Drosophila melanogaster: one gene and its partners. The protein of the gene in region 2 purifies or fractionates together with the protein of the main gene of each other region. This does not show direct contact. Each region holds a gene or a part of one and is shown on either strand. Other genes may lie near its edges.

Region 1 (3,817 bases), on a different chromosome or scaffold from region 2:
GACAAGTGGAAGCGGCAGGTGCGCGAGCAGAGACGCCACATCTACGACAGGCATACCATGCTAAACTAACAAGGGGTTCGGTTTGCAGCTGGCGGAGATTAGGAGGCGCATGGGCGACTTAAGACACGTATTCCAAGCAGTTATCCTTTGCGAAATTCCCCTTTGGATCAAATTGATTATCTGTATATTTAGCCAGATTTTATGTTAATTAAAATAAACCAAAATATGTTTGTCAGGAGTGTTTGCATATTAATTAATAAGTTGAATGCCGGGAGGAATAACCAACAAATCCACTAAAATAAAACTTTTAATGATAATTGATGGTTATAATTTGGGAAAATAAGGAACGTAAGACCGTAATGGTGAGTCCAAGTTAGATTTGGAAACTCCCTTGGGCTTCTTAGTTTGACGCCTACTTTTTGATTCCATCAGTAGAGATTAACGAAAGAATAACTCGAAGATAGTTTCTATCACACAATAACCATAACTTTAAACGTATTATTTTCAGCCACATTTATTTTTAATAAATCATGTAACCACATATCCTTAGACAAGTGTTTTTTTTTAATGCAAAACCGCCGAGCTAGACCTAAACTAAGTTCATTCAGAATCGGAGGCTCTAGTATCCCTTTATGGTTTCGGCGAATGTCCAGTTTTCGTTAACTTGGAAGGGCCCCTCCACGCCGCATCCGTTGACGCTGCACACGCCCACAGTGTATTGGGAAATATTACGAGTATCGCGGTAGTAAAGCACCTCCATGCATGTGCGGATCTAGAATATAAGAAAATGGTAGGGTAGTTAAATAATGAAGAGTCCCCCCATCAGAGTTCGAAATTCCTTACCAGTTCGGAAGCTTCTACGGCGGTAAAGTCCCTGTCCTTGGGCTTCTTCTCACGGACCAGCGGAACGGCCAAATGGCGGGCAAAACCAGTGGCCACCACGTAGTCCTCGTAGGATCGTCCACGGAGATCCACGTTGGCCAGGTACGGAGTCCCCTCGTTGTCCACGCCGCCGACAACCACGTCAATGTAGAGGGGGTTCATCCGCGAACGACGGTTGTAGAGCACACGGGTCATCCAACTGGCCAAGGACTTGGGCTTCATCTCGATGTTGTCGTCGCAGCACTGGTCCTCGATCATCTTCTGGTCGATGTTGCGCTTGATGGACTGGATGTCAGCGAAGTCGCCGCTCCCGCCGAGCAGGATGTTCTTGTTGACCTTAAAGACGCGCTCAATGTTTTGGTAGCGGGCCATGGATCCGTAAGACACCAGGGTGTCGGCGGCCAGCATCACTCCTGAATCATAGCGAATGCCAAGCACGGAAGTGCCCGTGGTGCTGGAAGCACTGCGGAATAGTAAAAGGAGTGTAAACAAGTGGTACATCTGCATATAAACATATCCGCAGTTCCTACGTGCTGTGCTTGGTTCCATAGGGTCCCATTGTGGTCAGCTCCCGCGGTAGCTGCTGGACCGGCGTCTGTCCGCCCGTGAAGTTGTAGAACTCGCCGGGAGCGGGTCCGTTCTGCCACATGGGCTGCGCTAGGCTGTTGTAGTTGTTCAACATGCTAATTTATTCGGAGACTGGAATAACGCGAGACTTTGAAATGTTTGTCGCTGCCGGAGAATGACGGGCACAAATAAAATCAAGAGTCAGCGCAGTGTGAACAGACTTTAGGCGGGCGGCAATACCAGTATCGGCAACCGGTAGCTAAAAATACCAGACATACCAAAGATGAATCCACTATTAGCTTGGTCACACCGTTTTACATGTGTTAAATTAAATTAATTTGAAGTTTAATTGTGAACTTTTTAACATTTTATTAGATGTTGATGTTAAAAGTAATGTAAAACAGTTAACACCACGCTGCCTATACTGAATTTGTTTTTTTACTTTTGTCTTTATAATCCTCGTTGATAATACAAATCAAGGAGAAGAAAGATAAGAAATTAAAGAACTTTTCACTCAATTAGGATTAAGACTCATGTATACCCGTTGCTTCTACGGTATTTACTACTCCTTGAAACTAAATATATGTTTAGTTAATATATAATGACCATTTGCTTTACTTCATTTTAAGCCGTTCAATGGTCATTAAAGTATAAGAATCGAGAGCAATAAATGTAAATGACGTTTGGAAATTATCCTGGTCAATCTACAAATCCAATATCTCCCTTCTCTCCCTTCGAACACGATTCTCCATAGCTTTTTAAGCGGAATAAGGTTCTTTTGCTAAAACTTCTGCTTTTATTCATATTGGTGGGAAAAACGCACATGTTCCGGATTGTTGTTTTTGGGAACCCAACGAAGTTTTTTATCATAACATTTGATCATATAAATTAATAATAAAGAATTATAAATTTGAAGACATATAAATACATTTTTATTGCCAGTATACCAGTACACAATTTGTAAATATATAGGTATGTGCATAATGCTTCCGAGGGGAATGTTTAGGTTGCTGCCGCATCTTTCAGATGCCATAATACAGTCGATAATATCAGTTGCTTTATTGAGCTATGCTAAAAACAATGACGGGGAGACCCGCTCTTTAACACGATACATATACGAATAAGGATACCCTACGCAAAACTAAGAGCTACATGTCACGGCCAACGATTGATGCTAATTCTATGGGGTTAAAGCTTCTAGTCCTTGCAGCAGCAGTAAACATTGTCGCTAGAGCTAGCTGGGGTTGTGGGCGTGGTGCCGCCCTTGAGGGGCTTGCTGTAGGAATGGGGACCCCGCATGAAGACCTCGATGAGCTGACAATGCGATCTGCCAGATACGGAACGGTTAATAAGCGATTTATTGAAGTTAAAGGTACAACCAACTCACCGCATGGTTATGTCCAGGTCGGTCACCACCTCTCCATCACAGTTCCAGCTGGAAAACTCCGTCGAGGAGGAGTGGGCGGTCATTTCTTCAGGCGGTGTAATCGGCTGACAAGACCCTGCCAAGCTGTAGTCCTCCTCGCTGGCAGAAAAAGTTCTGAACCGGAATTCCCTTGTGCGATATACCTCTACAAAAGGCAAATTGCGCTGCAATGGGAAAATGTTTTTAAATATTTATTGTTTTCTACAAAATTTAATTGTATCCTTTTATTTTTCATTTATATTTTTACAGTAAAAGATACCATCGCATTCACTAGATAAAACATTATATTGTTGAAACTGGTCAAGTATATACTTTATATGGATGCCACCAGAGCGGCTAGTAGATCTTCGTAAAATAACCTTTCTGTCACAGATTTCCCTCGCTTCAATCCGAGCTAGATGGGGTTCGGTTTTGGGTTTTTGGCTTTTAGGATAGAAAGCACTAAGCTCAGCTTGTAGGCTTAGGGGATTTGGCAATTAAAGATGCAGTTAAAATGTTATGGAAATGTTATTTCAAAGGAAATGGACGCCTCTTATAGGAAAGGTGTTCTTTTGGATGTGAAAGTTGAATAGTTGTAATAGTTAGTACTCACAATATCACCACTTCTGCCCGCCGTGTTGAGCAGAAAACGCACGTTGTTGAGCAGTGAGGTCTTTTTCACGAGAATCAGGTCCAGGCAACCATCACCCAGATGACTGTAACGGGAGATGCCATTGGGACTCCTGGCGCAGGCGCAGGTTATGTTCGCGCCGCAGATCATAAAGAAATTGCCCCGCACAACCTTCCACTGATCGTTGCCGAGGTTCCTCATTGATGAAATGGAGCCAGTGGGCAATCGAAGATTGCCTGGACGCGGACGAGGCCTCAGGAGTGCTGCTTCACTGGCGGCTAGATGAGAGTCCTCTGTTTCTACCTGCTGATTGCGCTCTGCCTCTTTAGATT
Region 2 (5,118 bases):
ATCCGAACCGTTTCGTTCCGTTCCGCGCTCCAGCTTGACCGGTGGGCGTGCGCCTGAACCTAGGGGTTTATCAGCCAAGATGCACATTTGCAGCAGCAGCAGCAGCAGCAGAAATAGCAGCAGCAGCCGCCGCGGAGAAGGTTCCACGCGTAGTCCAGCCGGCTTATCGCTGCAGTGGGAACCCACTGGGGGCGCTGATATGACTATGGTAGTCCCGCAGAAGGCTAATTACTTTGTTGCCGCCAACGATAGACTTCCAAAGTCCATGTACCGCCAGCCGGGCCAGCCAGTCATCCAAGCCAGGGACATGCAACCGAGGCATGGAAGCCACAACTACTCGCACTCACATTCCGACCCGATAATTACAGATGGCTGCTCGAATTCGGCCGACTCGGATCTATTATTTATAGGGCGCTTATCGCCAGACAGCTTTTGATATGGCCAAAAAGGAAAAGTTATTAGGCAACTGGGGAAACCAAAAGCAGAAAAAAAAAAACGGGGGAAAAAAACATTCCAGACATTCGTGGGAGCCCACAGACCCCGGAGCGCAGACCTTCCGGCTGAAGCTCTATTTTTATACCCGTTCAATGGGTGCTGCTATTTTTTTTTTGGAGCGATATGCTCTTGTCGCTGTTACCACCACTGATACGCCTGACAATATCTCGTCTAGACTGGGCATTATTATGAGAGGCGAAATTTGTTTTTTTCGTACATTAGTGTTTTTCATTTTGTTGCTGCTCCCTCCCTCCCATTGGGTTGTTTAGCGGAAAAGTTTCAATGGCACCTCCAGGCGGTGTGATCCAACACAACCATAGCACAACGCTGCTGGGGGCTGTTCCATTAAAAATATGACTGGCATTCTTGGCGGGGGTAATTCAGACGTCTTATCAACCGATTTATATTTACGATTGGCGGGCAGGAAGTATAGCCAACTTTCAGTCTGAGAATGCCGATAGATAAAGGGCATTATGAAGGTGTCGCGTTGGTCCTTCAACTATCTATACCTGAGTATCAAACTGTTCAAGTTGCAGACTTTCTGTGACATAGAACCATTCTGAAATAGTGAATAGTGACTTGGATATTTTGGATATCGCAATCATTATAATTGGGAACTCATGCAGGAAGTGACATCAACTTTTTGCTCGTGGGTAATTAGTAAAGTTGAGAGTTCCTATAGTCAGTCATCACCAATATCATTTTTTCAAAAGCTAAACGAACTGTAACAAGAGATATAATATTTTCAACCAGTATTATTCACACAAATTTAGAAGCTTGTTAATCACATTGTGAATTGTAAACCCGCTAGTTAATACATACATTTGATAGTGGTATCCTACTAACTTTTCGAATAGTTCAAATTAACAACATAAAAACAAATCTAATGATATTATTTGTCAGAGGTATTCAGTGATCAAACTGAAATGGTACCCATTTGGAAAACTTCCGAATGATTATTACATATTAACTTCTCCCTAAACCTAAACATTCATTCGAAAGGGAAACCGAAACGGAGGCCTGATGAACAAACCGGCGCAATGCGAACACACACATATGTATATTCGAATTTAATACGATGGCGGGGAAATCACCTATCAAGCGATCATCACTGCAGCCAAACTGACCTTCAAATCATTGGGTGGTGAAGCAGCAGCATGAATAGCATGCGGGTGGCACGCGATCACTCACACAGCGGGTGACTTCTTCTTACATTGAGCACTGCTATCGCGACACAATTGATAAAGCCCACATGCGTCTGTAAACTTACTTAGGGCAATAAATTTATTGTACAAAATTCGTATCACCGATACACGTTTAAAGTTCGTGCTCACTCGGCCGCCGCATGACGTCTGAGCGGAGATCGGGAATCGGAGATCCCAGATAGTTAGCTGATGGAGTGCGTAGAGTACGTGAAGCTGCGTCCGTGGGGTAGCCGCCGGTCCCCGAAATAGACGTTGACCCCCACGCGGCGCCGTGTCATCGGTAGCGCAGGCGGGCCCTGTGTGCACGTGAACCAGAAATAAGTCAGCGATTGAGGATTAAATTTATGCCACACTAAGTTGTTGTACCCACTCAAGCGAAGTGCTCCAGATGGTCTTGCATGTAGGTGACTAGCGTCTTCTCGAACAGAGGGCCCATTAATCGATCCAGTTTGAGATTAAGGCTCACGTAGAACTGGCGGCAGTAGCGTTTACTCAATTTGGCGGCCAGAACAGATGAGTCGGTCTGCCCGTGTCCGCCCAGGATTGTGGAGGATAGGGACTGGCTGCTGGCGGGATTGCGAGAGGGCATGGCCACCGCTAGCTCCTCGAAAACCTCCAATCCCTTGGGGTTTATGATCAGCATGGTGCTGCCTTGCATTTTCAGGGCGCGCACGGTGAATTGCGAGGGACCCGCCGCCAAGTGGACGCAATGTGAGGTGAAACCACCAGACTCCTTCGCAGGCACAACATTCGCAGGAACGCTATCCATTAGTCGTGAATTTTATACATAAACAAGCAATATTCACAAGGAAAACAATGAAATAGCAAGTTTGACCGGAGCGGTGTTGCCAGATAACGAAACGACCATAGATAGCTTTTCAAAATAATCGAAAATTGTATCGATAGGCAGCTATTACAGAGCTTAGGCGCGGATTTTAAATTTGCATTACTCCCTCAAAAGCCAATGAAAGTCAGTTTGATTTCGCCGTTCGCAGTGTTGGTTGCATTTATTAAGGCTCTATTTAATGTGGGCGAGTTTTTTAATGTTTACGTTGGTTGAGTTAAATACATATATACGATATTTTGTTCACAATTACATTCAGATTTTGTTTTGCTCTCTTCGGCGCGCGTCGATTGGTTTTTCCTTTTCTATAATGTTAATGTTGTCGCTTTGATTTGACCTACTTATTTAAATACACAAAAGGGAAATCGTCGAGAGTACCAAAAAAAGGCAATTGAAATCAACGTTATTCGATTTAAAGATCAGTTCCGGTTGTTATGTTAAAAAAAAAAGATGAAATTCACTAATTATTCGTTATGCTTGAAATGTCAATGAGAATTATGATGTATGGATAAATATCGGTTATATTTGACGTCTATTGCGCTTTATTTATTGATAATTGATTGTTAATGTTCTTTGAATTTGTTGGATATCAAATAATTTTGATTAATTTTTTTTGTTTTGTTTTTCTTTTTTACTATAATTTGACTAAGTTTTGCAACCGCGATTTCAAACTTCCACCCTGATGGTATTTTGTTTCTTATTTTTCGTGTTTTGTTAGTTTTGTTGTTTTTCATCATGTAATCATTATCGATTTGTGAATAAATATTGGAAGTGATAAACATATAGCGCTGTTATTATGCGGGACTGCGTTGCTTTCTAATCCTCATCGTCCTCAGATTCGGCCTCCTGCAGCCAAGTCAACCAGGCGTTCACTTGGAACAAAGCGGATCCTTTGCCTGGATATTTGTCGGAAATCTCCTCCTTCCACAGGACGAATGCCTCCTCCTCTATAATTTCAGATTCGTAAAGATACTTGAACCAACGGCACAGCATGCCTAACGAAGAAAAAAGCAAATATAAGTTGCCGATAAAACAGATTAGATTTAAAATGTTGAGCACTTACCCTTGGGGAAATTTTCATTGTAGCAGAACGTTTGCAGAGCATAGAGAGCCATCAACTGAAGCTCGTTCTGTCCCAGGAAGGTCTGCAGCATCTGGCTGTAGTTCTCCAGCAGCTGTTGCTCCTTCTGGGTCACCGATTTCTCAGGGTGCTCCTTGGGGTCGAGGTTGTCCGCCAGCGTCGTCTCCTTGGTCACATACTTGACCACCACGGTCATTAGGGCTTGGATAAAGCCCGGGTCCTTGTAGTATTTGTTGTCAACGTTGGCCTTGATCCACTTGTAGAAGTTGTTGGGGTTCGGGTCGCTTTGCAGCTGTTTTAGCATCTCGGCCTGTACCTTCAATAGCGGATAAAGGAAAGAAAGCTTGCGATCCTCGAGTATCCCGGCCAAGCGCTCCTTGTTCCGATCCGCCTCCGGCAGGCTGTTCATAAGATCAACTTTGCTCGCCCGGAATTTCTCTTCCAGCGCATCCTTGCCGATGACCTTGACCAGTTGCTGCAGCACGAGCAGGAACAGCGGATAGTGTTGGCCATTGTCCGTGAAGTTGGCGATATCGCTTAACTTCAGCAATGCTGGCTCGCAAATTGTCTTTGCCAGCAAGCTGGCTACAAGACTAACGATTCGGGGATTGAGTGCCTCTCGCTCGTTCATCTTGTTGACCACCTGCTTGAAAATCTCGACCACGATGTTCGGCTTGATATTGGATTGCTTGCGCAATGTCTGCAGAAGGCGCACAGCACGCTCCAAGAAGACATCGTTTACACGGTCCAAGACCTCCATCAGCAGATTGATGCACACATCCTTCAGCGCCTTCTCTGGCAGCTTAAGCTCGAGGAAACCATCTACAAGCTTGGTGAAGCGATCTGGAGTGGTCACAGGTATTGCAGCATCTTCCTTTACCTCCGAGACTTCAACTGGAGCAGCGTCGGCCTCCTCCGTCTTTGTCTCATCAATATCCTTGATCTCAATTTCCGTCACCTCTGCATCCTCCTCCTCATCGTAGTAGAACCTATCCTTGAAGTACTGACTGGCCTTCTTAGACAGCTCCTCCTTGTTGGGACCCTTATCTTTCTTTTGTTGCTTGGCCGAGCCAATACCGCCGGCCGGAGTGCTTGGTCTCTCCACGGAGCCATTCTTGCCCTGATCTTTGCCGTCGTGCGATCCCTTTCTGCCCGCCTGACCGTCTAAATCCAACTTCTCCGCTCCTGATGAAAAGTTCGGCGAAGAAGAGGTGGCCTTCAATCCCCTCTCCTGTTGAACTCCCAAAAGAGTTCGGTTATCAGCATACTCAGCAGATGGTGTTGACGAGGGACGCGTTGGATTGATCAGATGGGATGTGGGCGTGCCGAGCATAGGGTAGTGGGAGTTCGAGAGCTGGCCCTGCGAGCTGCCCTGGTTGTTGCTGCCGCTGCTATTGGGCGGTGTTGACATGGGCAACGTAGCCGGAAACTTTTGGTTCTGGGAGGCCGCTCGGAAGAGCAAGGAGTTGGCTGCCGGGCGCATTTGCAAGTTC
Region 3 (3,880 bases), 4.6 Mb from region 2:
AGCAGATCCAAGATTTTCGAAAAATACGCGTGGGTCTTGAGTATGAGCAGGAAGATGTGAAGGATCTTGATCACATAGATCTAGAGCTTTTAGAGCAACAGAAGGCCGAGCGTGCGGCAAAGAAAAAGGCTCGCATCCACAACCTCGGTGAAGAGGACGAGGAGTCTAGCGATGGAGCGGACGAGTTTTACTCGGAGGACGAGTACAATGAGGACTTGCAACGCGTTGTGCACAAGAAGGCCAAGTCAAAGAAGCCACAACAGCTGGCCATCACATCGTCTGGTAAATTCCGAGTGGCCAAAATACAACCTGGTGATTCGGATGGTGCTGGCAGCTCTGACGACGATGGACCCAGCACTTCAAAGGCTCCTCGGTTGACTGCAAAGCAAAAACGCTCCCTGGAGCGCAGTCAGAAACGCAAGAAGATTGGCAGCAACTTTTACGAGACGACAAATGTTAAGAATCGCAATAGAAACAAAAAGAAGGACGCGTAAAATATTACGTTTACACTCTAGGCTATATTTTCTTGCAAGGAAAAACTACACTTTAAGAATCCAAATAAAAAGTTGATCCTACTCTGAGCACTGCTTCTTCTTGGGAATTTTGCGGCCACATAAGTCGGTTCGGCTGCACATACTGGGTTCCTCCTCATCGGTGCTGGCCTCCGAGTCACTAGACTCCGTGTAGGAGCCGATGCCCGGAAGTATAGCGATGCACTTTAGGGCCCCCTGGTTGTATTTGTTTGTAATTAATGTGGTGTTCGTTGTCTTATCAGCAGGGTCCTTGGTTGCTTCATTTGTCGCTGTCTGTTCGACCTCATTCTCAGTGATTTTGGCTACTTTACTGGTGGTGGGCAGTTCGCCGTTTTTTCTCTTGATGCCCTGGCCGAGCAGCGTCTTCTGAGTGCTACGCCCGACCGAAGCTCCCGCGGACTTCGCTGTGGTTTTTAGTTCAGCTTGCAGTTTCTGAGGGTTGCGGAAGTTCGGGTGATTGTAAAATCAATTGATTGTTGCTGTAACTTTACCCACCTTGTCTACACTCTCCTCCTGCAGCTTTTCCACACGATTGCGAAAATCCTTTAGTTCTAGCTCCTCGTCGCGCATTTGCTGGCGCTCCGCGTGTATTTTATGGGCATCGACCAATTCCAGAAACTGCACCTCATCATCGTCCAGACCACGGATGAGGTTTTCTATACGTATATTACGCATGTTAGGATGGCCAGATTGCATTGTTTATGGCATAGTCTTACTCAGCTTGTGGGCTTCCTCGAACTCCATGTCCTTCTTGTCCTTATTTTGTTTGAGGCGTTCATAAAGTGAGCGCCCATCGTAGGGTTCCTCAGGTCGTTCTAGTGGATCCTCCGGCTGGCGTACACGCTCCCATTCCTCCTGACGTCTCTGCCTTTGCTCGGTCGCCTCAGCTTCAGTCACAAAGCCCGAACTCATGCTGTACTTTCGTAAAATTGCTCTTTTTTACAGACCACAACTATTGCCAGTGTGGTGAACGTCGAATTAGCAGCTGTGCGATGATATAGAAGTGTTGGTAGTGGCTCGTGAAAATTTGAACTAGTGGCGGGAATTGCTAATGCTTCTGTGTCATTTTAAGTTAAACGTTGAAAAACTTTCCAAGTCCCACTAAAATGAACTATCCTTATAAACTCTTTTAATATGACAGCGCCTTACTCTACCAACTGGAACACTGGGGCGACCACGGGCCCTAAGCCTGGCTCGATTTATTTCGGCTATCTGCACAAAAACTGATTTTTGGGCGGTTGTCATTTCTCGCCATTTTCTGCCGGCTATTTTGGCCAAGGAAATCGGTTTCAGATGGCAAATGTCCCGCTTTTGAAGATTAATCCGAAAGTGGTCAAAGAAAATAAAGTAGGGATTAGCGGATGGGAACTTGCTTGGTCGCATTGTCCATGGTAAAGGCGAGACACTCATCCGGAACATTCTGAAATTTTGAAAATTCTTCCTCAGGTAAATCGAAACAAATACCCTTCACATGAAAATCACTGGTTACATGACTTTATTTCAGGAATATCTCAATAGGAAACATCTATATAGGATGGGGCTTTGCTAAATTCTCCAATAAAGAGCTACAGGATTAGCAAAATACACGATATTCATACACACATATGCAGGCGTTTTAGGTGAAGACGGTTTCTCGTATTTTGTTTATACATCCATAAATTCTCGGTTCGTCCGTTTCCAATGTATATACTTAGTTTATAGACATAATTGAGGTCAGCACACTTACAACGAACAGCAAATAGGTAATACGACTGATTCTGAACTTCGCCGTGATTGAGTATACATTATAGGATAATACTGTTAGGATTGGGTCCGGATCATGATGTATCCGAATCTACAGGATGCTGCAGGAGCTTTTCTCGCGAAACGGATTCACCTTCTGTGTGAAGCCGCTGAGCAGGCAGTCTTCCTCCTCGTGCTCCAACATGTACTTCATCATCAAGGAGCATGCCACCGAGACGGGCATACGCTCCATCTCCACTTCCCGCCGTAGCTGCAAGTTGATGGAGCGCTGCTGTTGCAAATTAGCAGCCATTATGTCCAGGACGGCTGTCTCCGCGAGACCTATGGTGGTTGCTGGGATGCTAATACTGCTGTAATATTGATTTGATTCAATTTGAGTTGTGCTTATTTCGATTTCCCCAATATTGTAAGCGAGAAATATGCGCTCTACTTCTCGATGAAATATTTTATTGGGGGCGCTGAAAAATCAATATTTATAAAAAGTGTGACCGCGTTGAGAATGGTGCTTTAGTTTTCCGACTTTTGCCAGCCGTTGGTGAAAGCTTCTTGTTGGTGTGGGGAAAGATTTCACAGTTTTTGAATCTTGGAATAACTATAAGCTTTCATAAATTGTATCAATATATGTCCTATTGGCTATAGATTTTTTTTATCAATGTTTTGTACACCGTTTATTTTATTTATTGCAAAAATATATAGTTTACAACTGTTTTTATTTAAAGTTAATTATGTGAGCATGCTGGAAATAAAAATGAAATTATGAGTAAAATTAATTAGGTGATGTTTCTAAAAACTTACTCTGGCATAAACTCTGTCGACTGCTTAGCATGCGCCTCCTCCGGATTCAGGTTCAACTCCTTGGTAATGTCTGAGTCCGGTTTCCGGAATGCATTGGCCATAATCAGAATGTTCTTGGCTATTCTTTTCTGATCGATTCGCTTTTGAGCCGTATCTGTCCGTCTATTAGCGTTCTCCGACATCCGCTGCTCTATTGGTAAATCTGGTCCTGGTGGAGATTGGAGCGGTTCTGGATTTGTCCAGATCTCAGTGCCAGGTGTTTCCTTTCCTGTCGTTGGGGATATGGCCGGACGTGCTGGTATCAATGGGGAACGCACACAGACTCTGTAAAAGAATATTAATAAACATTAAATCATAATTTAATCATAGTGTTTTTACTTTGTAATGAAAAATGTAGAGAAGCTACGAGCTTCATAGGAACAAAAACAAACTTTTATTACAAATCCTTACATGACTAGTCACACTCTTGGCTTGTTTTTTTTTAACATTTACGAATACATTTTACATAAAACTGGTTAAAAAGTAGAAAACATTCGATATATGTATATAGGTAATATTTCACTCCTTATTCGGCTGGACCTTCTGGCTTGGCTCACTGTCCTCATTCCCGTTCGGATTCGACCTAGAACGAGTCAGAAATGGGAGAGAACAATGAGCCAGTCCTGGAGAAGGAATCAAAAACCAGTTCAAGACTTAAAACTATCGTTCCGACCCGAATTCAACATGCAAAGCATCCCACTTACTTATTGACATCCTCCAGCTTCTTAAGCAGGCGCTCGTTTTCTCGGCAGACTATCTCCTGATCCCTA

The links. The genes of interacting proteins can lie anywhere in the genome.
Region 1: the proteins of CG13319 (region 2) and Prosbeta7 purify together in Drosophila melanogaster (affinity purification with mass spectrometry, with the first as the bait; one large-scale study listed by BioGRID). This does not show direct contact.
Region 3: the proteins of CG13319 (region 2) and CG14480 purify together in Drosophila melanogaster (affinity purification with mass spectrometry, with the first as the bait; one large-scale study listed by BioGRID). This does not show direct contact.

Annotation. Positions count from the first base shown.
Region 1 is NT_033777.3:5,356,512-5,360,328, forward strand, and holds Prosbeta7 (proteasome beta7 subunit), read right to left. Parts: upstream 1,854-3,817; 5' UTR 1,565-1,853; coding exon 1,413-1,564; intron 1,346-1,412; coding exon 844-1,345; intron 773-843; coding exon 620-772; 3' UTR 501-619; downstream 1-500. Other genes in the region: CG1161 (uncharacterized protein), read left to right, coding at 1-69; Cerk (ceramide kinase), read right to left, coding at 2,647-2,776, 2,837-3,039, 3,468-3,817. UniProt on the Drosophila melanogaster protein: Non-catalytic component of the proteasome, a multicatalytic proteinase complex which is characterized by its ability to cleave peptides with Arg, Phe, Tyr, Leu, and Glu adjacent to the leaving group at neutral or slightly basic pH.
Region 2 is NT_033778.4:12,921,300-12,926,417, reverse strand, and holds CG13319 (uncharacterized protein), read right to left. Parts: upstream 2,515-5,118; 5' UTR 2,470-2,514; coding exon 2,071-2,469; 3' UTR 2,067-2,070; intron 1,997-2,066; 3' UTR 1,754-1,996; downstream 1-1,753. Other genes in the region: NAT1, read right to left, coding at 3,361-3,539, 3,608-5,118.
Region 3 is NT_033778.4:17,562,473-17,566,352, reverse strand, and holds CG14480 (uncharacterized protein), read right to left. Parts: upstream 2,014-3,880; 5' UTR 1,917-2,013; coding exon of another isoform or gene 1,606-1,916; 5' UTR 1,446-1,605; coding exon 1,250-1,445; intron 1,190-1,249; coding exon 1,029-1,189; intron 966-1,028; coding exon 573-965; 3' UTR 501-572; downstream 1-500. Other genes in the region: Ns2 (nucleostemin 2), read left to right, coding at 1-494; CG46428 (uncharacterized protein), read right to left, coding at 1,635-1,916; CG43324 (uncharacterized protein), read right to left, coding at 2,368-2,568; Klp54D (Kinesin-like protein at 54D), read right to left, coding at 3,000-3,012, 3,072-3,395, 3,815-3,880.